Linked DNA regions of Saccharomyces cerevisiae S288C. The protein of the gene in region 1 purifies or fractionates together with the protein of each later gene. This does not show direct contact. Each region holds a gene or a part of one and is shown on either strand. Other genes may lie near its edges. The genes, in order: RLP7, YTM1, NUG1 and ERB1.

Region 1 (7,158 bases):
TATGGGGTATCCATTCTTCAGGGAAGCCCTTACACGAATTAAGTATGACGTTGCCAATTCGATGTCTTTTATATCTAACTTAAGTTCATCCCGAAGAACCTTACTCAACTTGTCTTGTAACTCCTTTCTTTTAGATTCCCTGACCTCTAACTGCTTCAAAATATTAGGTTTTGCGAGATAGTCTTTTCTAGAAATAGAATTTTCTTCCTTATATGCTGCCCTTTTATTTGTTAACTCAAAACGGCCAAACCTCCTTACGGTAGGCTCAAAATGAGGAGATGGCAGTTTCAAATCACGCCTCAAGGCAACACCAATGAATTTTCTTTTAGGATGAAAAGGATCAAGATAGTAACGAACAACACCAGGTTCTAAGGCGAATATGGAATGATCTTTCCCTATACCAACGTTTTCTCCAGGATAAAACTTTGTTCCTCTTTGCCTCATAATAATTTCACCTGTGGAAACATCCTGGCCTTCATATTTTTTTGGTCCTAACCTTCTTCCTGCAGAATCCTTCATACTTGTTCTCGAGCCCGCAGCCCTTTTGGTGGCATTACGCACTTGAAGGAACACACCAGACACATGTTTTTGGAATGAAAAACTAGAAGTATCTAGTAAAATAGGATTCCACATATTCTCACCTTAGGTTAAGCTTGAAATATTATGACCACCCAAACTGGCGAGTTTTATTTTTACAATGAGCCAACTTCATTCTTCAGTGAACTATCTTGAATGAGTCTCCAAAGAAAGAGCTTTAAAATTCAATAGCGGAACGTCAGATATCGAAACACCCAGTCATAACAGCCAAATTTGCATAATTGGTATAAAAACAGTGTGTATAACATTACAGAGAAGCCGTTGTGTGAAAATCTTTTTAGTACCTATTCAACCAAACAATTGAACTTGAACACCAAACTCTAGCCATCCTTATCCTCTTCTGGTCACTACATATACCTCAATTTACGTCTTTCCTTGGGTCGTTTCAAATGACTCTCTTTGTTTAGCGAGGGAAATGAAAAAGTAGAGTACTGGCTGAAAAATTTCATAATTATGTTTGCTCATGAGTTCGAAAACAGTTTGAATGAGCAGATAGAACGCCAAATATTAAGTTAACAGGATATGTCTGATCAAGAACGAGGTTCAGAAAACGTATGTTTCATTGATAAGGGAGGTGAAGAAAAGTTTGTAAAATGAGACTTTATGAGGTCATTGGAATTAAATAGACATCAACGAATGGTGAGTCACCATTTAATGCTGCCTTCAAAACGCTTGCTTCAATGTGATTCCACTGGTTAAAGGGGGTTTTTTGAATGCATTGCTAATGTTTATCTACTGGCTATGAAAGTGAGAATATCAATTATAAATAAAACCCTGATTTTCTACCTGCCATGCTATAATGTACAGTTTATTCCAACTTTGAAACGCAATGACTTATTGGTCTCTCTCATTATGAAATTTAGTTACTTTTACTAATGTTATTCATTGTTGTAGAATAATCGAAGTAGATCGAGGTCGAGATCACCTGTTCGTCGTCGGATGAGTGATGATCATGGTTATGAAAGAGACAACCATTTGTCCCGGAGGTCAGGTAATTATAACGGTAGGCGTAAGTTCGCAGATACGTACAGAGGAAGCAGAGATAGAGGAGAATATAGAGGAGGTAGAGAAAGGTCTGATTACAGAGAAAGAGAAAGGTTCAATAACAGAGATAATCCTAGATCTAGAGACCGTTACGATGATAGGCGCAGAGGAAGAGATGTGACTGGTCGTTATGGGAACAGACGTGATGACTATCCTAGAAGCTTTAGGAGTAGACACAATACACGTGATGACAGTAGGAGAGGCGGTTTTGGTAGTAGTGGAGCAAGAGGTGATTACGGTCCTTTGTTGGCACGTGAATTGGATAGTACATACGAAGAAAAGGTCAATAGAAACTATTCCAATAGTATATTCGTGGGTAATTTAACATATGACAGCACCCCCGAAGATCTCACTGAGTTTTTTTCACAGATAGGAAAAGTAGTCCGCGCGGATATAATTACATCAAGAGGGCACCACAGAGGTATGGGTACAGTAGAGTTCACTAATTCGGATGATGTTGACAGGGCCATCCGCCAGTACGATGGGGCCTTCTTCATGGATCGTAAAATCTTCGTCAGGCAAGATAATCCACCACCGTCAAACAATATCAAGGAAAGGAAAGCACTCGATAGAGGAGAGCTTAGACATAACCGAAAAACACATGAAGTTATTGTAAAAAATTTACCTGCTTCCGTTAATTGGCAGGCTTTGAAAGACATATTCAAGGAATGTGGGAATGTCGCACACGCTGATGTGGAATTGGATGGCGATGGAGTATCCACTGGATCTGGTACGGTGTCCTTTTATGATATTAAAGATCTGCATAGAGCGATTGAGAAATACAACGGTTATAGTATAGAGGGTAACGTCTTGGATGTCAAGTCTAAGGAAAGCGTACATAACCACAGTGATGGAGACGATGTTGATATCCCAATGGATGATTCTCCCGTTAACGAAGAAGCTCGAAAATTTACCGAAAACGTTGTCGGTGGAGGTGAAAGAAATAGACTCATATATTGCAGTAATTTGCCATTTTCAACTGCAAAAAGTGATCTTTACGACCTTTTCGAGACAATCGGAAAGGTTAACAATGCTGAATTAAGGTATGATTCCAAAGGGGCACCAACTGGAATAGCTGTCGTTGAATACGATAACGTCGATGATGCAGATGTTTGTATTGAAAGATTGAATAATTATAACTATGGGGGTTGTGATTTGGATATATCGTACGCTAAACGCCTCTAGAACTACTCTCGATCTATATACTTTCTCACCTATTGGATCTGCGACAAGTATTTATTCATTCTTGACTTATTTCCAGGCTTTTTAACTTTATAATGTCATTGTGTATACGTATAATCTGAAAAAATTTCGAAGACTTTGAAGAAGACTGTGAAAAGAGTCTGATTTTTCCAATACAGTGAAAATGGGTTTAACAAATATCCAAAAAAGTACTTTGAACAGATATCGTAAATAGACGACTTTTTTATATGAATAACAAAAAATAAACAACAGACAAGAGGCCTCAGAAGGCTTACGTAAAGTACGTAAACGATCTACCTCTTACAACTGGTAGTTGCTTTTGCTCTATGTTTTCATTACGCTCTCATTTCTCCAGCCGTTGGGAAACTTTTCGATAATAACGAATGAACAGTTTCATACATGCCTAGGAAGATAGCACCACCTGCACTGATCCACATTGTCCGGGGCCCCACTCCACTGAAAAATACAGCAGGACCTTCCTCTCTGTAAATCCTAATAATAACGCTTCCAAGTGAGGCGGTTGTTTTGTTGAGCATTAATCTGGTTTTCAAGAAATCTAATGGTGTCGTTGTAGCTGCTGCGATCCCACCCGCAATAGAACCGCAGATAGCCCCTTTCCATGGCTCCACTTGACTTTGGCCATTGGCTTTTGCCCAAGTCTTTTTTAGATACTCGTATAAAGGAAACTGTATACAAGTAAACGGTATTTCTCTCATAATGGTGGTAGACCACCCTCTATAAAGATTTTTCCTTAAACCTTCCTTATTGTCATTTCGTAGAATTGACTGTAAAGTCTGCCAGGAAGAATTGGTAGAGTGAACTTGCGTCCTTTGCTTAACGACTTCTGCGGGAACTCGAACAAGACAAGCACAAATTTCACCAATGGAAGAGGAAAGCATGTGCGTTGTCGTATCAATCAATTGCTCAGATCCCTGTGAGTAAAGTTTGCTGATATATGGCCTTGATTTTACTTTCATATAATCATAACTAATAAAGAAAAGTGAAGCACCTGGCGCCGATGCTACAACAGCGCTTCCCAAACCACGATATATGCCTTTGTATCCTCCATTAGCAAAGAATCCACCCTTAGCTTGAAGCCTGGTTTTAATTGTGTCTATAGGGAAAAAAACCAAATCCGTAGAGGTACCAGCAGCGGCGCCACTTAGCAAGGAAAGAAAAAAAGTATTCATAGCAAACTTTTCAAAGCGAATTTTAGTTCATCGGTGTGTCTAAACATATAAAATCGCCAAACAATTTACAACAAGTGGAGCTTTAATGATCTCATATATTCTCGAGGGTGCACCCCACTGCAAATGTATTTATATACAAAACAGCGCTCAGTAAGCGAGGAAAAAAAGAGGCGCCCGTGCTTTTGCCGATACATAAACTAAAAACCAATAAACTTGCCAAAATACGTATATTCTTCAATCCATGAGGCACCACTAATTATATGCAAAAGCTCAATATCTGCTCCTTCAATGGCATTAGATAACTAACAACCTATGTACTATACAATTTTAAAATACTCTCTTAATTAATTCAACTTGGCTAATAAAGAGTCAATGTCAACTTCGATAACTGGTGCTGTAGCTGCATTTGAAAATTGACGAGTTCTTGATTCAGCCTCCCGCTGTTTTATTTTCCTTAGCCTATTCAAAGAACCAAATCCAGATACTTCTCTATTCAACTTGAATGGTTGTAAGAAGAAGTTACAAACAGAAAAAGACTCACCCATAGTGGCAATCTCATGAATAATATCTTCAACACAAATTATTCCATGATCTCCTAATTGCTCCTCGACAATATTGTTGTCATTAAGAACTATTTCGTGAGGTTCAGCCTCATTCTCACCCTTATAGATTATTCTACCTCTCTTTTGAATCAAGGAACGGATAGAAGATAAAGAAGGCTTGCCAATCACTACGTATGGCGCAATAACCTTGAGCAACGGATATACGTTTTTGGTCAATTTGACGAAAACACCAGTATTAGTTTCAACTAATCTTAGCAAAGACAAAATCTTAAATGCTTTGTTTGGAATATTTACAGCAAGCGGACCTCTTACTCTGACAATGAAAAGTAAAGCAGGTTTGCCATCGTAAGTAGTCTTTTCTCTGATTAAACCATCGTCTTCTTCTTCTTCAGTCTCCTCCAAGTCGACAGAGTTCTCTTCGGCGCCATTAGCTTTTTCTGTTATTTTCAGAATAAAATCTTTCCCAGATGCAATATGCTGCGTTTCATTCTTTGCCTTCTTATCTTCTAATATAGACACTCTTTTAATTCTTTCCTTTTCCCTAGAGGTAGCCAAAGTCTTTGCAACTATACTTTCAGCTCTGACAAATTTGTTCTTATTACTTCTCTTTTTTTTGATTTGTTCTTCCCTCTTTTTCTTAGCTAATTCTTGTCTTTCGATTCTAGTTCTATCAGCATTTCTTCTTTTCCTCAAAAGAATTTCTGGATTAGAATTAAGAGTTTGCGCTTTACTGTCTTGAGTTGAAGACATTGTGACTTGTATATCTTATTCTTTTTCCCTGTGGCAGCCTCTTCTTTCTAGGAACTTAATAACGAAAGTACCAAACAACTTAGACTTTTCTCATCTCATCGCTTCCCAGCTTTTTTTAAGCAGAGCTGAAAAAAATTTTCTTTTTACCAAAAATCCGTACTGCGTGATGAAAGTGTACATACATTATTCAATATTCACCTAGTTTTGTATATTAATGTAAAATGTAATTTAATGAAGATCCCAAAAAATTAAGCATTCGTTGCTGCATCGTTGTCATTTTGTTCAATTATCGCATTCCTATCATAGCAAAAATATGAAGGTTATTAGTCTGAAAAAGGATTCTTTTAACAAAGGAGGAGCAGTGATTACTCTTTTACCGGAGGACAAGGAAGATCTGTTTACTGTTTATCAAATAGTAGACAAAGATGACGAGTTGATATTCAAGAAAAAATTCACCTCTAAACTTGATGAAGCTGGTAAGAAAAAAAGTACAGATTTGGTCAAGTTGAAGATTAAAGTAATATCCGAGGATTTTGATATGAAGGATGAATATTTGAAATATAAAGGTGTTACTGTTACAGATGAAAGTGGAGCTAGTAATGTTGACATACCTGTCGGCAAATATTTGAGCTTTACCCTTGACTACGTGTATCCCTTTACTATCATAAAACAAAACTTTAATAAATTCATGCAAAAGCTCTTAAATGAAGCCTGTAATATCGAGTATAAATCAGACACCGCGGCGGTCGTTTTACAGGAAGGGATCGCCCATGTTTGTTTAGTGACATCCTCCTCTACTATTTTAAAACAAAAAATTGAATATAGTATGCCAAAAAAGAAAAGGACTACTGATGTACTGAAGTTTGATGAAAAAACTGAGAAATTTTATAAAGCAATTTACAGTGCAATGAAGAAAGATTTGAATTTTGATAAATTAAAGACTATTATTCTTTGCTCTCCAGGTTTCTACGCTAAGATATTAATGGACAAAATTTTCCAGTATGCCGAAGAGGAACACAATAAGAAAATACTCGATAACAAAGGAATGTTCTTTATAGCCCACTGCTCCACGGGCTACTTACAGGGCATTAATGAAGTTTTGAAAAATCCACTATATGCTTCAAAGCTGCAAGATACTAAATACTCCAAAGAAATCATGGTGATGGATGAATTTTTGTTGCATTTAAACAAGGATGATGATAAAGCTTGGTATGGTGAAAAAGAGGTAGTTAAAGCGGCTGAGTATGGCGCAATTAGTTATTTACTGTTAACAGATAAAGTTTTGCATTCAGACAATATTGCACAAAGAGAGGAATATTTGAAACTGATGGACTCCGTAGAGAGCAATGGAGGAAAAGCATTGGTATTAAGTACTTTGCATTCTCTTGGAGAAGAACTTGATCAATTGACGGGTATAGCCTGTATTCTAAAATACCCGCTCCCCGATCTTGATGAAGACGATGGTGAGGAGTAGATTTACTATGTAAGAAAAAAGTAATGTACACATAAAATTTGCAACCCTATAATAAATCGGATTATTCTCTTTACTTCTTCCCTATAAGCAAGTAGATGTGAAGCCGCAATTAATTGAGTTGTTGTGAAATGGTTCTAGTTAGTCACGTGCAGCTTTTTAAAAATATTTTAAAACATTTTAAAAAATATACATTTTTTTATTATTTTTTTATATATTAATGTTAAAATTTATTTATGTATTTGTCTTCCGAAAAGTAAAATAACGTTCAAATTTGGTATTTAAGGATATCTGCGTTTAGGCGCCTAGCAAAAAAATGCCGAACTAAGAAATTATATTA
Region 2 (7,138 bases), on another chromosome or scaffold:
ATTGAGAGGCAAAAGCTATGGACTTATTTGGACTTTTGTTGTTTTGTAACCTCTAAAAGGGTTGCACTCAAGAAAAAAGGTTTTCCATATCGACTTATCTGAGTTTCTTTTTTTTGCTTTTTTTTTTTTTAGCCCATTTTTTTTTTGACGCATTAGTCGTTAATGATGATATAATGTCCACGTGATGACATTTCAATCTGCAACAATAGCTCGGCAACTGGATTACTAGCAGTCATACGTATGTCAGTCACTACACATATATATATATTAATGTTTAACTAATTTTTTTTTCTTATCTATCTGATATTTATTCTATAACTATATAAATTTGTCTCTTCACTTCTAAATACCTCTGTTAAAATAGACCTTTTCAATTGGCTTCCCATCCTTATCCTTCTTGCCATGTAGTTCAGGTTCTAGTTTATTTAAATGGATTGCTTGTCTTTGAGGGAAGATACCGAGTGCAAATGGCAAAGCTGAGAACATTGTGACTGAGATCAACCCCAAATTGGCCAAAGTTTGCACACCGAGAGACTTACCTTTGAGGACACCGCGTTGTAGTCTAACCAAAATCAAAGGTGGGATGACCATAGTTGGAGTGGCGTTAATCACTCTACTTAATGCAGTTTCACCAACTGCCATGAAGGCAGCCTTCTTGGACTTTCCGACTTCGTCACCGTTAGAGTCAAACACAGAAATACCCTTTCTAATTTCGTTGCCTCTCATTAGGAAGACGTTGACAATACCGGCACTGACCACGGCGGCAAATGGCACCAAACGGCCCAAGATCAACTTTGAATGTGGAGAAATGTTTTTCAACCTGGGAACTAGGTTATTTAGACCTAACGCAACACCACACGACGCAGTTACAGCGGCAGCGTAATTGGTGAGCAATTGGGACGTGGACATAGGATGAGATTTGTTTGCGTTAGCGGAATTAACGGCGACGTTTAGCGATTGATTTGCCCATTGCCAAAATACAGTCCCTGCCGTACCCAAACCAGGCGTCAGCATACCTACAGTAACGACTAGGTTTGATAGCACGTTGGAAGACATACGGAAGGGCAAAAGAACTGTCTTCCCTGTGTCCGGATGCACGGTGGAGTCCAGTTGTTTCTTGGCTCGCCAGAACTCCGGAGTAGTCTCTTTTAGTTCACCGTGACGATACGCACTGATGATTTCTCTAGCATGCGCCAGGTCCTTCTCAGTAGTTAACAACATAGTGGGGTCGGAAATCTCTGCGCAATGGCGGATTCTACCCCAATACGTGGATAAGTCATAGCGGGATTCGGGCAAATCGATGGGCCCTGGGACTGATGATGCCATATTTCTCTGCCTTGTTTATTTTTTTCTTTCGATGCTGTGTGGTTTTATTATTGCTAACTTGCAGTGGTCGACGCCTTTGAAAACTGTAAAGCTGATGCGAAGACCTAACAGTCTCTTATCCAATTACCTCAATCTGGTACGCTCCGGTACCGGACGCCAGTACGAAAGAAAAACTTTTCGTTCGTCTCGGGCACCATTGGTATAAAAAGCGCCGAGGCAGCGATCATTTTTCTAGTATTACTCTTCTTTCATTTTTTAGTTATCTTTGATTTTCGGTTCCGAAGAAGGCATGATACATATTAAACATGCCTTCTATTCACTGTGCCATCTTACATCCGTAGGTGATCAGAGGGGAAAAGAAGAGCTAGAGCAACTCCCACACTCATGAGCGTCCTCATACTGTTCTGGGCGCTTCTCACAGGTGCTTCTTTTAGTGTCTCCCATTGGCCCAGATCGGTAGCTGCGCGAGTGAGATATCTTTCATTCATTTATATTTATCTGTAGCAATAGCTTCCTTTACTATTTTATTCTTAGGGAGAACTTTAGCTTATTTCTTGCACAAGAGGGTTTGACAGTTTTCTGTTACCCGGCCAGTACTTCAAAAATTTTTCAAAAATTTTCTGAAGTGCTCATCTCATCGCAAACCGTAGGAGCAGTGAAAGGCATATGCTCATCTGTATAATTGCAAAAAGACATATTCTATGTTCGCAGAACCAATACGTTACCTAAAGTTTTAAAGACAATACCAAGGGAAACTGCACAAATTCAATATGACAGAAGATAAATCGCAGGTTAAAATCAGGTTTTTCACGCGTGAGAAAGATGAATTACTACATGTACAAGATACTCCAATGTACGCCCCCATCTCATTAAAGAGATATGGGTTGTCCGAAATTGTCAATCACTTGTTGGGCTCGGAAAAGCCTGTTCCTTTCGATTTCTTGATTGAAGGTGAATTGTTACGTACTTCATTGCACGACTATTTGACCAAGAAAGGTTTATCGAGCGAAGCCTCGCTGAATGTAGAATATACCAGGGCAATTCTTCCACCATCCTATTTGAATAGTTTCAGCAATGAGGACTGGGTTAGCTCATTGGATGTCGGCGACGGTTCCAAGCATATTATTAGTGGTTCTTACGATGGTATAGTTCGCACCTGGGATTTATCAGGTAATGTGCAAAAGCAGTACAGTGGTCATTCTGGCCCAATCCGTGCAGTAAAATACATTTCCAATACAAGGCTAGTTTCGGCTGGTAACGACCGTACTTTGAGATTATGGAAAACCAAAAACGATGATTTGAAATTAACTTCACAACAACAGGCACAGGAAGACGATGATGACGAAGTAAACATAGAGGACGGTAAGACACTGGCTATCTTGGAAGGTCATAAGGCACCAGTAGTCTCTATTGATGTTTCAGACAACTCAAGAATATTATCTGCATCATACGACAATTCTATTGGGTTCTGGTCTACTATTTATAAGGAAATGACAGTTGTTGATCCATTAGAAGATATAAACAATCCAAACAATAAAATATCCACTGCTGCTAGAAAAAGGAGAAAATTGACAATGAAAGATGGTACCATTAGAAGACGTGCCCCTCTGTCTCTGTTAGAATCCCATACAGCTCCTGTTGAGCAAGTGATCTTCGATTCTACAGATAATACCGTTGGTTATTCAGTATCACAAGATCATACCATCAAGACATGGGATTTGGTCACCGCGAGATGTATAGATACAAGAACAACATCGTACTCGTTGCTTTCCATTGCTCAATTGTCGACTTTGAACTTGTTAGCATGTGGGTCCAGCGCCAGACACATCACATTGCATGACCCACGTGTGGGAGCGTCTTCCAAAGTTACTCAGCAACAACTAATTGGTCATAAGAACTTCGTTTCCTCTCTGGACACTTGTCCCGAGAATGAGTATATATTATGCTCGGGTTCTCACGATGGTACCGTGAAGGTATGGGACGTCAGGTCTACTTCTCCGATGTACACCATAACAAGAGAAGACAAATCGGTCCAAAAGGGCGTCAATGACAAAGTTTTTGCTGTCAAATGGGCTGAAAAAGTGGGTATTATCAGCGCTGGTCAAGACAAAAAGATTCAAATAAATAAAGGAGACAACATTTTCAAAAACTGAGAAAAAACTGTTGTTGTTTTTATGTAGAATAATGTACTGATATACTTGAAATAAATTTGGTTTTGCCAACAGCTTTCGCAAATTTCTGTCACCTTCTTCTTTATGTAAAACGACATTACTTGCTAAAAAAAAAAATACTTCTATGATAATGTGTACTTGTATGAAACTTCTATAAATTTAAATTGGTGAATTTTATCCAGCTATCCCCCAATTTACTATTTGAATATATGCAATTGTGATCTGTCTTAAGACCTTTTCAAACCATTCTGGCGGAAGCATCGGTGGCCATTTCCGTATACGAATAACCGTCTTCATTATCCTTGATAGCTGAGTATAAACTATTGGAAATGGGTTCATTACGATTTTGCGCATGTTGCCCGTCCTCGCGATCAAACGAGGCAGGAACGGGCTGCGTATGGGTCCTGCGCAGAGATAGCCTTTCACCTGGTTTTTCTCTAGTCGAAGGGTCTGTTTCCATGGTCCTTAACGTGGTCATCCTTGTTAGATTCAATTCACCATCGACAGCATTTACGTCATCTATACCACCTTCGGTCTCAGCCTCCTTTTCCATGGCGGCATAACCAAATTGTGACTTGTGTCTTAATTTGCTCCCCCATTTTTCAAAAACCCATGGAATTGGAATCATCACAACGCAAACTAATGCAAATAAAGTGCTTGCCCATTTGATTTTCATCTTTGTGTACATTTGGATGGTAAACAATGGGAATACACTACTCATAACGTATCTTAATAGATTATTGGCAGCCAAACAGGATGCCACAGTTAATGGCGGATAGCATGTAGAGAAGTACATTAAAACGCTGAAAAAAATCAAAATTAAACCAAAACCAAATGGCACACCGGCAGCCACAGGAGCCATCCAGTGGACATCTGATCTAGCAGTCCAGGCTTGCCAAAACAGGCCGATAGGCAAAGCTACAGAACCAAATTTACAGGCAATTAAAAATTTTTCTGGAACAACGGGTAGCAATTCACCTGTTTCAGCGTCTCTTGCACCTCTGTAAGGGGTAGTCCTTTTAGAAGTTCTCTCTTTTTCGGTGAGTGGTTGAGTGCCAGCTGGTGGTTTAGGGAAGAGATATTTTCTGTCGATGTAAAGGTAAAAGAAAGCACCTATCCATAACCCGACACCAATACCAATAAATGGCAAGCCAGATATCCCCATAGACATGTGGTAAACACCACGATAAATGACAGCGTATGCTTCGAAAAATCCAAATAAAATGGCGAATATGAAAGCGACATAAACACTGAAAACAAATACAATAGGTTCAACGACAAGCATTTTTAAAGGCCTTAAGATTGTAATAGTGACAGTGGTTTTTAAAAATTCTTTCTGAGCTTCCCTGCTGAACTTCTTCAAGGCTATATTTCTCTTCTTGGCACGCTTTCTTAAAATAATACCTTTATGGGTCTCTGGCATGAGCGCAATAAATGGCAAGATTAGACCGCCCGCAATCAATTGGATCCATTCAGACCAACGCCAGCCTTTGGCTTCAGTAGCAAATCCTGCCATAATAGGAGATAAAACTGGCCCTAAGAATGGAGATAGAACAAAGTATGTCATTGCGACGGAGACCTGGTCCACGTCAAAGATATCCAGGATGGTACCTGATCCAACGGATAAGGCGGGGGATGCAAAGACACCTGATAAAAACCTTAGGGGTAGAATTATTCTCATGTGGCCATTGGATAACCCAACACCCATGGTGAAAAGCATTGACACAGGTAGGGAAAATAAATAGACAGGCTTACGACCAAACACTTCACTTAATGGAGCGCCGATGACAGTCGATAAACCCAGAAGATAGAAAGTTAAACCAGCAAGCGCCAAAGTCTGACTAACGTGATATCTTTCTACCAATTCTGGTACGGAAGAAACATATAGGGAACTACCCATTGTGACGACCAAACAAAGAAAAGCTGAAGTCATAGTAGTATACCATTTCTTCAAAGAGGACCAATTATGCGGATTGTCTGGGTCATCGGGCCCGTCCCAATCGAGATCTCTTGGGTCAATTGGCTCGCCCCCTGTCATGTTATTGGAATCTGCATTCGGTTCTGATCTTTTTTCGTCCTCTGTTATTGACCCTGTCGAAGAAGAAGTCGAATCCAAGTTGCCGCTATTAGTTACATTTTTGTCCAAGGCTTTTGGTACCTGCTGTATGTTTGTTCGAGGATCTGAGTTAGATTCGGTTTTTGTCAAAGAAGAAGGCATTAGTAAAACTTAAAATATATGTATACGATGTCTATGCTTCTTTGTGTGTGTATGTGTGTGTATAAGATGGTATCTTTATTCTGTAATTTTCAGGAAAGTGATGACTAGAAAATCGATGTGTCAGGTACAACAAATTGACAACCTATAACTTTCCATACAGGCGAATATATATATACACATAAACACATTCAAGCCTCCGGTACCGTTTGCTCTGACAAGGACAATTAGCATGTAAGCACGAGTGCGGGTATGCAATCATTTCAGTGTTTCCTTCATTTGGCATAGTGTCGTAACACGGATTTAAGGTGAGCCGTCAGGGGCTTTTAAGCGGAGCCCCTGCAGCTTCATGAAGACGGAACCGCACGGGCCTATTACCTCGGGGATAGATCAATTATCCGAAGCGGGTCACAACCCGGAAATAATAACCACTATGCCCGACCGTACCGACGTGGCACTATTTTTGGGATCCGTGGAAGTCGGCCATTAGTGGTAATCGGCGAAAACAAGTTTATTGCAGCTAAAGCACGCCATACGGTTGATATAAACAGCAATTAGGCACTTTTTCTCTTATTATTCATATGCCTTATTGGCTTGTGGCTTGTGGCTTGTAGCCTATGCAAATGCATTTGCTGATAGCAGCATAAGAAAGTTGGGAAGAAACGCTAACTGTACTTTTTATATCCAGAGTTCATTAGTTGATCTTTTACCCCAATAATTTCTTCCACTTGCGGCCTGCTTCTTCGCATTTCTCCCATTCCGGGCCGCGACTCCGTAGTTCTTACAGAAACAGCCGCCTCCATAACCATCTATGATAGGAAAAAGATGGACAAACAGGAAAAGAGCTAGGGAGTATAACCTGATTCCTGACATGTATAGGATTCGGGTAATTTTGAAATACGAAGCTCTTTGCATTCCGAGACCGGTTTAGGAAGATTTATTTACATATCTACTTGCGCTATTGTGGTCATGCCTTCGAAAGATAAAGAGCGAATTTTGCTCGTATAAGCTAAAATCAGGTAAAAGTTCCTTATGTTGCTGCTCCTCGATGGCAACGTCGATCTAAGATCTTGATTACTGAATCAGGCGAAAGCACACGTTCATCTTTCGCTCATCGGAAAGAAAATTAAAACAGAAAAAAATTCTAAAATGGCAAAAAAGAAGAAAAGCTCAGTGAGGGCTGTATAGTTTATTAGATAAGCTACTATACGTACATATCTTTTGTAAATAGAACCAAAAATCTTCATGCTAAAGGGACCGCTTAAAGGTTGCTTAAATATGTCTAAAAAAGTTATAGTGATTGCTGGTACAACAGGAGTAGGAAAGTCTCAGTTGTCCATACAATTGGCACAAAAATTTAATGGCGAAGTTATCAATTCGGATTCTATGCAGGTATATAAAGATATTCCTATTATAACAAATAAAC
Region 3 (7,621 bases), on another chromosome or scaffold:
CTAAGGTATACGCGATCTTGAGAAGGGAATTGCCCTTTCCGGCCACTGATAAAGTTGTGGCCATAGTAGAAAGGGATAATTCAAAGTGGTCACAATTGATCACCAATGAAATGAATCCGCAGGTGCTATTCACCGCACTGGCAACGACAAGGGCAGCTGCAGGCGGTTTGGACAAGCAATACAAGATCGATCATGATTTAAACTTACAATTGGCCCAGGCTGCCAAGGAAAAAGGATGTGAAACGATCGTTCTCGTTTCTTCCGCTGGTGCTCATCCGGACTCCAGGTTCGGCTACATGAAGATGAAGGGCGAGATTGAACGCGATGTTATCGCTCTTGATTTTAAGCACATTATAATTTTGCGCCCAGGCCCTCTCCTTGGTGAACGGACAAATTCTAAACAAAGCGGATTTGGCGGCAATCTGACTGCTGCTTTGGGCACTCGCGTGTACCGTTCTAGATTCCAGAGGTTGCTAGGCTATCCAGTTTATGGCGATGAGGTAGGAAAAGTTGGTGTTCATTTGGCGTTGAATACTTCTGGGAAAGACAAGGTTCAGTTTGTCTCCAGCAAGGACATTCTTGACATCTCAGCTTCTCTGGAGAAGATTGCTACCTAAATCAACCAACGGCTTCTTCTCGCAGCTACAGTTGTATTTTACTGTGACGTACTTTTGCGCGCGTACGGGTTCAATGAATTACGGATTTTCAACAACTTCACACAATCATAGCTTTTTTTACTTTTTCGCCTCATTATTTTCTTTAAAGAAACGATGATAAACAGAGATTTATCGTCATGTTATTTCGTTCGTATATATCGTATTTGCGTTTTAGCTGTATAAAGTAAAATACTATATCTAACGTGGCTTTTTTTATTTCCCCGTCTGCCCTCTTATGCTCATAGAAAACACTAATGATCGGTTTGGTATCGTCATAGATGCAGGGTCTTCGGGTTCGAGAATCCATGTGTTTAAGTGGCAGGACACGGAATCGCTTCTTCATGCAACAAACCAGGACTCACAGTCCATATTACAATCAGTACCTCATATTCATCAAGAAAAAGACTGGACTTTTAAGCTGAATCCAGGCTTGTCGAGTTTTGAAAAAAAACCTCAAGATGCGTACAAATCTCACATCAAGCCGTTACTAGATTTTGCTAAGAATATTATCCCTGAATCACATTGGTCGAGTTGTCCCGTTTTTATTCAAGCAACCGCGGGCATGCGCCTTTTACCTCAAGACATACAATCTTCCATTTTGGATGGTTTGTGTCAGGGGCTCAAACACCCTGCAGAATTTTTGGTTGAGGATTGCTCAGCACAAATTCAAGTCATTGATGGTGAAACCGAAGGTTTATATGGCTGGCTTGGCTTAAACTATCTATATGGACACTTTAATGACTATAATCCAGAGGTCTCTGACCATTTTACATTTGGGTTTATGGACATGGGCGGTGCCTCTACTCAGATTGCGTTTGCACCGCATGATTCAGGAGAAATAGCTAGACATAGAGATGACATCGCCACCATCTTCTTGAGGAGTGTTAACGGAGATTTGCAGAAATGGGACGTTTTTGTTAGTACGTGGTTAGGGTTTGGTGCCAATCAGGCTAGAAGAAGGTACTTGGCTCAGTTGATCAATACCCTTCCAGAAAACACAAATGATTACGAAAATGATGACTTCTCTACAAGGAACTTGAATGATCCATGTATGCCGCGAGGAAGCAGCACGGATTTTGAATTTAAAGATACCATATTTCACATCGCGGGTTCTGGGAATTACGAACAATGTACAAAATCTATTTATCCGTTACTTTTAAAGAACATGCCTTGTGATGACGAGCCGTGCTTGTTTAATGGTGTTCATGCTCCTCGAATAGACTTTGCCAATGACAAATTTATAGGTACTTCTGAGTACTGGTACACTGCCAACGACGTATTCAAACTTGGGGGCGAATACAACTTTGACAAATTTAGCAAAAGCCTAAGGGAGTTTTGCAATTCCAATTGGACGCAAATATTAGCGAACAGTGATAAAGGCGTGTATAATTCTATTCCGGAGAATTTTTTGAAAGATGCATGCTTTAAGGGCAATTGGGTCCTTAATATACTTCATGAAGGGTTTGATATGCCTCGAATAGATGTCGACGCAGAAAATGTCAATGACAGGCCCTTATTTCAAAGTGTGGAAAAAGTCGAAGAACGAGAGTTATCGTGGACACTAGGCAGAATTTTACTTTATGCCTCAGGTAGCATATTGGCAGGTAATGATGACTTCATGGTGGGTATTGCGCCCAGTGAAAGAAGAACTAAGCTCACTGGTAAGAAATTCATACCTGGCAAGTTACTGGAGTCTGATCAACTACGCAAGCAAAGTTCCAGCCTTTCTAATAAAGGATTTTTGATGTGGTTCGCAATTATTTGTTGCATATTTTACTTGATCTTTCATAGGTCACACATAATCAGAAGACGTTTTTCCGGTCTGTACAACATTACCAAGGACTTTAAGACAGGCATAAGGAGAAGGTTGAAATTTCTAAGGAGATCAGATCCATTTTCCAGATTGGAGGAAGGTGAACTTGGAACAGACGTAGATGGCTTCAAAGATGTGTACAGGATGAAGAGTAGCAGTATGTTTGATCTTGGTAAGAGTTCAGCCACAATGCAAAGGGAGCACGAACCACAAAGGACAGCAAGTCAGTCCGCTAATCTCGCTCCGTCAAACTTACGACCTGCGTTTTCTATGGCTGATTTTTCCAAATTTAAGGACAGTAGGCTATATGATTGAATGTGGTGGTGTATGTGCCATAAATAGAAGCGCATATACTTCTCACATAAATATATGTATATATCTAGTGAGGTGCCATAGTATTGCATTAACAGTGATTCACGTCACTCTAAACGTCGCTTCTGTTTTTTTTTTGAAATTTTTTTCTCACAGCTGCTGAAAATTTTCGAGCGAGGCGATGAGATGAGCTAATTATATCAAGAGGGAATTGTACTAGTAATACTTTGGTACACACAAGAACAAGCATATAGGTATACAGTCACGACTATAATATCATAAAATGAGAGTCAGAAAGCGCCAATCTAGAAGAACATCTACCAAGTTGAAGGAAGGTATTAAGAAGAAGGCTTCTGCCCATAGAAAAAAGGAAAAGAAGATGGCTAAGAAGGACGTTACTTGGAGATCAAGGTCTAAGAAAGACCCTGGTATTCCTTCTAACTTTCCTTATAAGGCTAAGATCTTAGAAGAAATAGAAGCCAAAAAAATGAAGGACTTAGAGGAAAGAGAGCTTGCCAAACAACAACGATTGGAGGCTAGGAAAGCTGCCAAGGAACAAGGCGTTGATGCAATGGATGAAGACATGATAGAAGACGATGAAAATGGATTAGCAGCTTTGGTTGAGTCTGCTCAGCAAGCAGCTGCTGAATATGAGGGCACACCCTCTAATGATGCAGATGTTCGTGATGATGAATTGGACGTCATTGATTATAACATTGATTTCTACGGTGAAGATGTAGAAGGCGAGTCAGAACTTGAAAAATCTAGGAAAGCTTATGACAAGATTTTCAAATCCGTTATTGATGCTTCTGATGTCATCCTATATGTTTTGGATGCCAGAGATCCAGAGAGTACAAGATCAAGAAAGGTGGAAGAAGCCGTCTTACAAAGTCAGGGTAAAAGGCTGATTTTAATACTGAACAAAGTTGATTTAATTCCCCCACATGTATTGGAACAATGGTTAAATTACTTAAAGTCTAGTTTTCCTACAATCCCATTAAGAGCTTCTTCTGGTGCAGTCAACGGAACTTCTTTCAACAGAAAGCTAAGCCAAACCACTACTGCAAGTGCACTGCTAGAGTCGCTGAAAACTTACTCTAATAACAGCAATTTGAAGAGATCTATTGTAGTGGGTGTTATCGGTTATCCAAATGTTGGTAAATCATCTGTTATCAACGCTCTTTTGGCGCGCCGTGGAGGTCAATCAAAGGCTTGCCCAGTCGGTAATGAAGCAGGTGTTACTACCTCTCTGAGAGAGATCAAAATCGACAACAAGTTGAAGATTCTAGATTCTCCTGGTATATGTTTCCCAAGCGAAAATAAGAAAAGATCGAAAGTTGAACATGAAGCTGAATTAGCTCTTCTAAATGCTCTACCGGCAAAACACATTGTTGATCCGTATCCAGCTGTCTTAATGTTGGTAAAGAGACTAGCTAAATCAGATGAAATGACAGAGAGCTTTAAAAAGCTGTATGAAATTCCTCCTATTCCTGCTAATGATGCAGATACGTTTACAAAACATTTCTTAATTCACGTCGCTCGTAAAAGAGGTAGATTAGGGAAAGGCGGTATTCCAAATCTTGCCAGTGCTGGTCTTTCGGTACTTAATGACTGGAGGGATGGTAAAATTCTTGGTTGGGTTTTACCAAATACATCGGCAGCTGCATCTCAACAAGATAAACAAAATCTAAGTACTATAAACACTGGCACTAAACAAGCTCCAATTGCAGCAAATGAATCCACCATTGTATCCGAGTGGTCCAAAGAATTTGATTTGGATGGATTATTTAGCTCTCTTGACAAGGCCATAGATGCTAGCAAAGATCAAGATACAATGATGGAATAAATAAGTCATATGTAAGGCTATTTTTATGTAAGGGGTGTTTCTTATTTTTTCTTTATCATCAAATAACATTACTGTAAATTATAGGTGTGCTTTTAAACTCATTACTATACATCTTATTTTTTTTAGTTTTACTGCCTTTTTGCTCTTTGGACAAAGAAATCATTAAAAAGTTCCAACTTTTATTATGTTTCATATATAAGATATACAAAATATAAAATGCAAAACGAATTTCAGAGATAGCATGACTTATGAAATTGGGGACAGACTCAAGATTGGTGGATATTTTTGCACCATCAAATTCATAGGTGTTATTAAGCCGTGGCCTTCGGTAAAAGCTTATGGGGTGGAATGGGACGATCACAGCCGGGGAAAACATTCTGGAACAATAGATGACATACACTATTTTGACGTTCAAATTCCTAATTCAGGATCATTTTTGAAGGAGTCTAAGATTAAATCTCCAGGTGTACGCAGAATTACGTTTTACGAAGCATTGTCAGAAAAGTATGGAGGCTCGAGTAATAACATTAATGACCTATCTATAGGTAACAAAAGGGTTGAGGGTTTGGGATTCGATGAACTAAATGCGAGAAATAAGAATTATAAGAAGTTAAGAAAAATAGCTTTGCGAGATTCCGATGTCGCTATATTGTTTCAAAATCAAGATGAGTTAAACCGTGTAATACAAAATTGTGTGAACGTCAAGGACCTTGATTTATCGCTTAATCTATTCACGAATATCAACTCTTTATGTGAGTTCATAGAACCTTTGAAGAACTTGGAGAGCCTTAATATATCTCAAAATAAACTTTTAAGCGGTTGGGACAACTTGAAAGAATATGACCTATCACACATCAAAACTTTACGTCTGTCTTCCTGTGGTTTAAGTTATAAACATATTGGTAAGCTGCTCAAAAGCTTCAGGACACTGAAAATGTTGGATTTAAGCTATAACAACTTGACCAGTGCGGGAATCCAAAATTTTGAGAATGAAATACCGTGTACTTTGGAGGAACTGAATATTAGCGGAAATAATCTTATATCGTTTCCATTGTTTCCAAAAAATTTGACATTGAAAGGTTTAAATGTCTCCAATAATCAAATTTCTAGAGCACCAAGTATTGCTATTTATTCTGTTGAATCCTTGGATATAACAGATAACAAATTTAAGGAAAGAAGTTTGATAGATGATTTGAATAAGACATTTCCCTCTTTGAAAAATATCCATCTGAGTGGCAACGAATTCAACTACAACGGAAATTATATTAACGTCGAAGAACAGGCTACTTTTTATGAAGTACTGGCTAGGTTTGATCGTGTGATGGTATTGAATGGATCAATATGTGATGTAAAAACAAGAAGAGAGGCTGAGATGTTTTTTGTTTCCAAGGTAATGAATAACGAATTGAGCTATGACACCAATCTGCCGCGTTGGTCAAGCCTCATAAAGTCGTATGAAATCGATATGAGTAAGCTAAGTTTCAACAATGAAAGAGAAACACGGCAATCTCTTGTCTTAAAAATAAAGATAAGAGCTGGCAAGAAGCCGAGTAGTGATTTAGATTATTGGGTCCTTCCCAGTTTTACAGTAAGGTACGTTAAGAGTGTAATATGTCGAAAGCTAAACTTTGACATACTGAATGTTAAGTTATTTCATGAAAATTCTGAAGGGATGATAAACGAAATAAAGTATAATTTTCGCCCCATTTCAGATTTTAATGTTGTGAACGGAGATATTATTCATGTTTCGTCTCCAGTAAATAACAAGAGCATTCAGAAGGTTAACAGCCCATCGTAATCACAGTATATAGTTAATCTTGGCTAGTTGCATATTTAAAAATCAGGAAACAGCCTTTTAGATTGTAAGCGGATGTTATTCTAATTTTTTCTTAGTTTCTTTATTTTATTATGTAGCAGATGGATAGTAATATAGTGTTGACGGCTCCGTTTGTTACTCAACGCTGAAGTTCCATAAGGGGTCGCCCAAATGGTGAATCAATTCTATGGAATGACCTTTGTTCACTGATTTAATTTCTTCAGTACCCATCATCAATTCACCAATAGCCAATGCATTCTCTTTATTTTCGGCATTGATGACTACAATCGTACCTTTCTCGTAACCAGGAGCAGGTGGTAAGTCGGCACCCGCAGAAGTTAGGCCAGGGCACATGATATTAGCACCTGAGAGAACGAATTTAATAGCACCTCTATCAACCTGAACAGTGGGATAAGCCTCTGGAAATTTGTGTACTAATTTCAGGCTTGGAATCAGTTCATCGAATTTTTGAAAAAAAAGAACTTCACCATCGACGGAATACAATTGGATCTTATCTTCACATTTAATCAACTCGATTTGACTCTTCTTAGGAATTAATTCATCAATAACATCTTCTATTTTGGGGTACTGCTTGACCAATTTGGCCTTTAACGTTCTTTGAATTGAAGATTTGACCTTTGAACGTGAATGGACATCTTCTCTTGTGAATCTATCGATGATGATGTTAGTAATTGCTTACTGAGTCAAAAGTGTACACTAACCCCTGGTAAAACCAGTGAATTACGCAATATTCATTCTCATGTTAGACATACTTCTTAAACATTTCCTCTCTGCTGTTTTAGTTTACCGTCTTTGTCTTTTATATGGTTTTACATAAGGTTATAGCAAAATCAAGTTTTTTCACACAATAATTTTTCAGATAATTAAATTTTTCGTCATTTTTACACCTACAAATACAAAGCATAAGAGTAAGGTAACTATGAATTTAGTGGAAAATGACCATAATGATAATTATCAATAGATAAAATTATGGTTTTTGAGGTGAAGTTGAGGTCTCGTTTATAGACGGCACTGTCAGGTAATTGGTCAACTCTCCTATACAAAGTTTACTGTATCGGGTGAAAAGAAAGACACACAAGAAGGAGAACACTCATGCCTACCATTTTAGTTGCCATTTCTGTATTACTTACAATTCCAGCTTCTATAACGTGAACTCA
Region 4 (8,635 bases), on another chromosome or scaffold:
GGTTTATCCATTACACGACCGTCGCGAGGACTCTATCCTCGATGTTTTTACTACGATACTAGCTTTTATTAAGAACCAGTTTCAGGCCAGTGTCTTGGTTATACAAATGGACCGTGGTTCTGAGTATACTAACAGAACTCTCCATAAATTCCTTGAAAAAAATGGTATAACTCCATGCTATACAACCACAGCGGATTCCCGAGCACATGGAGTCGCTGAACGGCTCAACCGTACCTTATTAGATGACTGCCGTACTCAACTGCAATGTAGTGGTTTACCGAACCATTTATGGTTCTCTGCAATCGAATTTTCTACTATTGTGAGAAATTCACTAGCTTCACCTAAAAGCAAAAAATCTGCAAGACAACATGCTGGCTTGGCAGGACTTGATATCAGTACTTTGTTACCTTTCGGTCAACCTGTTATCGTCAATGATCACAACCCTAACTCCAAAATACATCCTCGTGGCATCCCAGGCTACGCTCTACATCCGTCTCGAAACTCTTATGGATATATCATCTATCTTCCATCCTTAAAGAAGACAGTAGATACAACTAACTATGTTATTCTTCAGGGCAAGGAATCCAGATTAGATCAATTCAATTACGACGCACTCACTTTCGATGAAGACTTAAACCGTTTAACTGCTTCATATCAATCGTTCATTGCGTCAAATGAGATCCAACAATCCGATGATCTTAACATAGAATCTGACCATGACTTCCAATCTGACATCGAACTACATCCTGAGCAACCGAGAAATGTCCTTTCAAAAGCTGTGAGTCCAACCGATTCCACACCTCCGTCAACTCATACTGAAGATTCGAAACGTGTTTCTAAAACCAATATTCGCGCACCCAGAGAAGTTGACCCCAACATATCTGAATCTAATATTCTTCCATCAAAGAAGAGATCTAGCACCCCCCAAATTTCCAATATCGAGAGTACCGGTTCGGGTGGTATGCATAAATTAAATGTTCCTTTACTTGCTCCCATGTCCCAATCTAACACACATGAGTCGTCGCACGCCAGTAAATCTAAAGATTTCAGACACTCAGACTCGTACAGTGAAAATGAGACTAATCATACAAACGTACCAATATCCAGTACGGGTGGTACCAACAACAAAACTGTTCCGCAGATAAGTGACCAAGAGACTGAGAAAAGGATTATACACCGTTCACCTTCAATCGATGCTTCTCCACCGGAAAATAATTCATCGCACAATATTGTTCCTATCAAAACGCCAACTACTGTTTCTGAACAGAATACCGAGGAATCTATCATCGCTGATCTCCCACTCCCTGATCTACCTCCAGAATCTCCTACCGAATTCCCTGACCCATTTAAAGAACTCCCACCGATCAATTCTCGTCAAACTAATTCCAGTTTGGGTGGTATTGGTGACTCTAATGCCTATACTACTATCAACAGTAAGAAAAGATCATTAGAAGATAATGAAACTGAAATTAAGGTATCACGAGACACATGGAATACTAAGAATATGCGTAGTTTAGAACCTCCGAGATCGAAGAAACGAATTCACCTGATTGCAGCTGTAAAAGCAGTAAAATCAATCAAACCAATACGGACAACCTTACGATACGATGAGGCAATCACCTATAATAAAGATATTAAAGAAAAAGAAAAATATATCCAGGCATACCACAAAGAAGTCAATCAACTGTTGAAGATGAAAACTTGGGACACTGACAGATATTATGACAGAAAAGAAATAGACCCCAAAAGAGTAATAAATTCAATGTTTATCTTTAACAGGAAACGTGACGGTACTCATAAAGCTAGATTTGTTGCAAGAGGTGATATTCAACATCCTGACACTTACGACCCAGGCATGCAATCCAATACCGTACATCACTATGCATTAATGACATCCCTGTCACTTGCATTAGACAATAACTACTATATTACACAATTAGACATATCTTCGGCATATTTGTATGCAGACATCAAAGAAGAACTATACATAAGACCTCCACCACATTTAGGAATGAATGATAAGTTAATACGTTTGAAGAAATCACTTTATGGATTGAAACAAAGTGGAGCGAACTGGTACGAAACTATCAAATCATACCTGATAAAACAGTGTGGTATGGAAGAAGTTCGTGGATGGTCATGCGTATTTAAGAATAGTCAAGTAACAATTTGCTTATTCGTTGATGATATGATATTGTTCAGCAAAGACTTAAATGCAAATAAGAAAATCATAACAACACTCAAGAAACAATACGATACAAAGATAATAAATCTGGGTGAAAGTGATAACGAAATTCAGTACGACATACTTGGCTTAGAAATCAAATATCAAAGAGGTAAATACATGAAATTAGGTATGGAAAACTCATTAACTGAAAAAATACCCAAACTAAACGTACCTTTGAACCCAAAAGGAAGGAAACTTAGCGCTCCAGGTCAACCAGGTCTATATATAGACCAGCAAGAACTAGAGCTAGAAGAAGATGATTACAAAATGAAGGTACATGAAATGCAAAAGCTGATAGGTCTAGCATCATATGTTGGATATAAATTTAGATTTGACCTATTATACTACATCAACACACTTGCACAACATATACTATTTCCGTCCAAGCAAGTGTTAGATATGACATATGAATTGATACAGTTCATATGGAATACGAGAGATAAGCAATTAATATGGCACAAAAGCAAACCTGTTAAGCCAACAAATAAATTAGTTGTTATAAGCGATGCATCGTATGGTAACCAACCGTATTATAAATCACAAATTGGCAACATATATTTACTTAATGGAAAAGTAATTGGAGGAAAGTCCACCAAGGCTTCATTAACATGTACTTCAACTACGGAAGCAGAAATACACGCGATAAGTGAATCTGTCCCATTATTAAATAACCTCAGTCACCTTGTGCAAGAACTTAACAAGAAACCAATTACTAAAGGATTACTAACCGACAGTAAATCTACAATCAGTATAATTATATCCAATAATGAAGAGAAATTTAGAAACAGATTTTTTGGTACTAAAGCAATGAGACTAAGAGATGAAGTATCAGGAAATCATCTGCACGTATGCTATATCGAAACCAAAAAGAATATTGCAGACGTAATGACCAAACCTCTTCCGATAAAAACATTCAAACTATTAACAAACAAATGGATTCATTAGATCTATTACATTATGGGTGGTATGTTGGAATAAAAATCCACTATCGTCTATCAACTAATAGTTATATTATCAATATATTATCATATACGGTGTTAAGATGATGACATAAGTTATGAGAAGCTGTCATCGATGTTAGAGGAAGCTGAAACGCAAGGATTGATAATGTAATAGGATCAATGAATATAAACATATAAAACGGAATGAGGAATAATCGTAATATTAGTATGTAGAAATATAGATTCCATTTTGAGGATTCCTATATCCTCGAGGAGAACTTCTAGTATATTCTGTATACCTAATATTATAGCCTTTATCAACAATGGAATCCCAACAATTATCTAATTACCCACATATATCTCACCTTCTTACACTGTATATGATAATATATTAATATTAAACCAGTCAATAAATGTAATTGATTATTTCAACACGAAAACCTAACTATCAACGATATCACATAGAACAGCGAAGAGTTAGAAGATTTATTAGAAGATTTATTAGTATAGGTTATTTTAGATGCAATTTTTCAATAAAACCTGGTTTCGTGGTCTAGTCGGTTATGGCATCTGCTTAACACGCAGAACGTCCCCAGTTCGATCCTGGGCGAAATCATTTTTTTAGCACTTTAGCAGCATATTGCGGTATCGAATCATCTTCATGAATGGCGCAGATTTATTTGAACTGTTCAATCATAAATTAACCTTATGTGAATAGTCTGGGTAGGTTGAAACTTCGGAAATCACTTGCTTTTCTGAGGGCTGCGCGTAATCTAGATAGATCTACCTAAATGACACCGATGGCAACTTCAAGCTATACTAACTCCTAGACATTACTTTCTTCAGTATTCCCTTAGTGCCTGTTTTGAGCTATGAGATTGGTATTATTATTTGAAATATCTTCTATTGCGGTATCTGATTTTATATTTCTAGCTTTGTCATAAAATATAAAATACACAAATATATATATAGAGATAAGATAGATTATTTTTGATGACTTGCAAGTTGCACTAGGATTTGTTTTTCTTCTAAAAACCCCTTAAAGGTATTTCCAGAGAAAATATTATGCTGGTTATTCGATACTATTATCCAGTATACACTGACCTATGTTATAAGCAAAGGTTCTTCGTTCTGCCTCTTTAACAGGTGGAGTGCGTGCCATTATCATCAATGAAAGTTTAACATGTAATTGTCATCAGCTGTATACTGTTCGAATCTGTTCATTACGAAGGTTTAACTTCAAAAATCGAAAAGAAAAAAAATAGAAGATAAGAATATTGCATAGATCCTTCTTTTTTAGTGAAGTCACCGAATAATACATATAATGAAGTTAAAATTACAAACCGTGCAAAAACACCGCTGATTTAGAGTGGGCGATTTCATAGATCAAAAAGCAGGCTAAATATGAATTGAAAATTAAGTAGTCTACTATTTTCTGACAGCAGTGGCGCGCGACGGTTTCCAGGAAGTTTATTATTCAACGTGTCCAATTTTCACACGCTGCTTGACATCGTTATTCCCTGAACGCATTTTTACACTGTATGCGCAATTTGAGCCACTTTGATGGACTATTATGTATGAATAGCTTAGCTTAAAGAAGTAACAGTAGAGTGTTGAACCTTTAAGTGCTTGATGTACTCGAGCCTTTTTCTATGATACCTCACTCCAGAAAAAAGCGTTTAACATATCTGGCATTGAGGGTGGTCTCAAACAATAAAAGTATCCTATTTAATATTTTAACATTGCTGATAACCTAAAAAATCTGAACGTTGCCAGCATAAAACCTCAGCTTTATATCGTACTGAATAACATACTTACTGCAGGGCGAAATTTTTCTCAAATTGTGCCTAAATCGTTAAGTTACTAAACTTTTACGCGCAGTACTGGCATTGAGCGATCAATATTGTTTAATGCGTAGTGACGATCTTCTCCACTTATATTTTTTTATTCGTAGTTCTCTATTTTCGTTTCGATTTGTTTTCTCTGTCTACCAGATTAAAAGTGATTTGAAGTTTTTTATCATGAACTAAACAATAAAATTACAAAAAAAAAAAGTCAGCGTCACCAAGGATTGCTACCAATATACGACTTTACTGCTGTATTATCGAATTTTACCTTCTAGGATATTATGTAAAGTCTCTAGCAAAGGGAGAAAACTAATGTTACTAGGACTGAAGAACATTTTCCTCTTATAGTGTAAAATTGATTTTGACAAGAATATAATTAATACATTTTTTTTCTTTTGATAGCAGTATTGAGTACAATGAATTGAGCATTCAAGGTTCAACATGTGATAGTAGCTCTACCGCTAGTATGTTATTGCTAATTAAGTAGGATTGAATTGTCGCGATTTTGTCATTTTGGGTTTTAATAACTCTTGTACGGGTTACCCCATTTGTTTTTGAAGATTAGTGAAAAATTATTGAAAATTTTTTTTTTTTTGGTTTTGCGATGAGCTTATAATTTACATATGTGATATATTCGCATATAGATCCTAGCGAAGAAAGGTACTGTATTAAATCTGTTCTAACATAACTAGGTCAATGATGGCTAAGAACAACAAAACTACCGAGGCAAAGATGTCGAAAAAGAGAGCAGCTAGCGAAGAATCTGATGTCGAGGAAGATGAGGACAAGCTTTTATCCGTTGACGGTTTGATCGATGCGGAAGCAAGTGAGAGTGACGAGGATGATGACGAATACGAGTCTGCCGTTGAAGAAAAGGAATCATCTTCTGATAAAGAAGCCCAAGATGATTCTGATGATGACTCCGATGCTGAATTAAACAAACTGCTTGCCGAAGAAGAAGGTGATGGGGAAGAGGACTATGACAGTTCTGAGTTTTCAGACGACACAACTTCCTTAACAGACAGATTATCGGGTGTGAAATTGCAAACGATCGTTGATCCGAATATTTACTCAAAATATGCAGATGGCAGTGATAGAATTATCAAACCTGAAATTAATCCAGTTTATGATAGCGATGATAGTGATGCCGAAACGCAAAATACCATTGGTAATATTCCACTTTCTGCATACGATGAAATGCCACACATTGGATACGATATCAACGGTAAAAGGATTATGAGACCTGCCAAGGGTTCTGCTTTAGATCAACTGTTGGATTCTATCGAGCTACCTGAAGGCTGGACTGGTTTACTGGACAAGAATTCCGGTTCAAGTTTGAACTTAACCAAAGAGGAATTAGAACTTATTTCCAAAATCCAAAGGAACGAACAAACTGATGATAGCATAAATCCATACGAACCGTTAATCGATTGGTTCACGAGACACGAAGAAGTGATGCCATTAACTGCTGTTCCGGAGCCAAAAAGAAGATTTGTTCCATCCAAAAACGAAGCCAAGAGAGTTATGAAAATTGTAAGAGCTATCAGAGAGGGCCGTATTATTCCTCCTAAAAAATTAAAGGAAATGAAAGAAAAGGAAAAAATTGAAAACTATCAATACGATTTATGGGGTGATTCTACGGAAACAAATGATCATGTAATGCATCTAAGGGCACCAAAATTACCTCCACCAACTAATGAAGAGAGTTATAATCCACCAGAAGAGTATCTTTTGTCTCCTGAAGAAAAGGAGGCCTGGGAAAATACTGAATATAGTGAAAGAGAAAGAAACTTCATACCTCAAAAGTATTCTGCCTTAAGAAAGGTCCCTGGTTACGGTGAATCTATTAGGGAAAGATTTGAAAGATCTTTGGATTTATATTTAGCTCCTCGTGTCCGTAAAAACAAATTGAATATTGATCCTAATTCTCTAATTCCAGAACTTCCCTCTCCCAAGGATTTAAGACCCTTCCCTATTCGTTGCTCAACAATATACGCTGGTCACAAAGGAAAAGTACGCACATTATCCATTGATCCTTCTGGATTATGGCTAGCAACAGGATCTGATGACGGAACAGTCAGGGTATGGGAAATTTTAACTGGTAGAGAAGTTTATAGAACTACTTTAATCGATGACGAGGAAAACCCAGATTACCACATTGAATGCATTGAATGGAATCCTGATGCTAATAATGGTATTCTCGCCGTTGCTGTTGGTGAAAACATTCATTTAATAGTACCACCAATATTCGGCTACGATATTGAAAATAACGGCAAAACTAAGATTGAAGATGGTTTTGGCTACGATACTTTTGGGACTGTTAAAAAATCTAACCTAGAAGTGAACGAGAATGGTGATGGCGATGAAGATGGAGAGAATGAATCTGCTAAGAATGCTGTAAAAAAACAAGTAGCCCAATGGAACAAGCCTTCTCAAAAGCAACTAGAAAAGGATATTTGTATCACTATTTCTTGCAAAAAAACAGTAAAAAAGCTTTCATGGCATAGAAAAGGTGATTACTTTGTCACTGTTCAACCTGACTCTGGTAACACTTCTGTTTTGATTCACCAAGTTTCCAAGCATTTAACCCAATCCCCATTCAAAAAATCGAAGGGCATTATTATGGATGCGAAGTTCCATCCTTTTAAACCTCAATTATTTGTCTGTTCCCAAAGATATGTCAGAATTTATGATTTATCTCAACAAATATTGGTCAAGAAACTGTTGCCTGGTGCCCGTTGGTTATCGAAAATCGATATTCACCCAAGGGGTGATAATTTAATTGCGTCATCGTTTGACAAGAGAGTTTTATGGCACGACCTGGATTTGGCTAGCACACCTTACAAGACACTAAGATATCATGAAAAAGCCGTCAGAAGTGTGAATTTCCACAAAAAGTTACCTCTATTCAGCTCTGCCGCTGATGACGGTACCATACATGTTTTCCATGCCACTGTTTATGATGACATGATGAAAAATCCGATGATTGTGCCACTAAAGAAACTAACCGGTCATAAAGTAATCAATAGTCTGGGTGTTCTTGATGCTATTTGGCATCCGAGGGAAGCTTGGCTGTTTTCTGCCGGTGCTGATAATACGGCTCGCTTATGGACCACCTAGATAAATAATTTGAAGTAGATATTGTATAATAACGCCCAAGAAGAAAAAATCAAACACTCGAACCAGGCTCTTTCTACAAGCTTTATTTACACAATATATATAAACCTATATGTATAGATGCCCACACGCACGTTTGGATTATTACCTTCAATGACATTGCTAAAAGCCCATTTCCTTCATAGCATCCAACTCATCTTGATCTACGCCAAACTCATCTCCCCCTGGCAATAAATCATAATGAGTATGTTGTCCCTCTATATCATTCATTTCCCACTCTTCCAAACTTTGAATCAGTTGAACGTCTTCTTCAGTCATAGAGCCTTTTTCCATTTTTCTATGCGCATCTAGCCATCCTAATAAGAGCTTCTTCTCATTTTCTTCAAGGCCAACGGGCCCTTGTACCCTGAATGTCTTCAATAATGCATCCAAATCTTCCTTAGGCGGCACAACGTTGTTAAGTACCGTTTCATTATTCCCACGTTCGTCCAAAACTCGTCCTC

The links.
Region 2: the proteins of RLP7 (region 1) and YTM1 purify together in Saccharomyces cerevisiae (affinity purification with mass spectrometry; 6 studies listed by BioGRID). This does not show direct contact.
Region 3: the proteins of RLP7 (region 1) and NUG1 purify together in Saccharomyces cerevisiae (affinity purification with mass spectrometry; 6 studies listed by BioGRID, with this or other methods). This does not show direct contact.
Region 4: the proteins of RLP7 (region 1) and ERB1 purify together in Saccharomyces cerevisiae (affinity purification with mass spectrometry; 7 studies listed by BioGRID, with this or other methods). This does not show direct contact.

Annotation. Positions count from the first base shown.
Region 1 is NC_001146.8:621,796-628,953, forward strand, and holds RLP7 (Rlp7p), read right to left. Parts: upstream 5,348-7,158; coding exon 4,379-5,347; downstream 1-4,378. Other genes in the region: mitochondrial 54S ribosomal protein bL27m MRP7, read right to left, coding at 1-633; HRB1 (mRNA-binding protein), read left to right, coding at 1,120-1,149, 1,492-2,826; PET8 (Pet8p), read right to left, coding at 3,180-4,034; ribosome dissociation factor DOM34, read left to right, coding at 5,661-6,821. UniProt on the Saccharomyces cerevisiae protein: Involved in the biogenesis of the 60S ribosomal subunit. May act as a specificity factor that binds precursor rRNAs and tethers the enzymes that carry out the early 5' to 3' exonucleolytic reactions that generate the mature rRNAs.
Region 2 is NC_001147.6:830,717-837,854, forward strand, and holds YTM1 (Ytm1p), read left to right. Parts: upstream 1-2,096; coding exon 2,097-3,479; downstream 3,480-7,138. Other genes in the region: FSF1 (Fsf1p), read right to left, coding at 343-1,326; TPO4 (Tpo4p), read right to left, coding at 3,736-5,715; MOD5 (tRNA dimethylallyltransferase), read left to right, coding at 6,958-7,138. UniProt on the Saccharomyces cerevisiae protein: Component of the NOP7 complex, which is required for maturation of the 25S and 5.8S ribosomal RNAs and formation of the 60S ribosome.
Region 3 is NC_001137.3:159,659-167,279, forward strand, and holds NUG1 (RNA-binding GTPase NUG1), read left to right. Parts: upstream 1-3,064; coding exon 3,065-4,627; downstream 4,628-7,621. Other genes in the region: FMP52 (Fmp52p), read left to right, coding at 1-617; YND1 (apyrase), read left to right, coding at 892-2,784; PAC2 (Pac2p), read left to right, coding at 4,869-6,425; TMA20 (translation machinery-associated protein 20), read right to left, coding at 6,579-7,113, 7,217-7,227. UniProt on the Saccharomyces cerevisiae protein: GTPase required for 60S ribosomal subunit export to the cytoplasm.
Region 4 is NC_001145.3:367,594-376,228, reverse strand, and holds ERB1 (ribosome biogenesis protein ERB1), read left to right. Parts: upstream 1-5,711; coding exon 5,712-8,135; downstream 8,136-8,635. Other genes in the region: CSM3 (Csm3p), read right to left, coding at 8,295-8,635.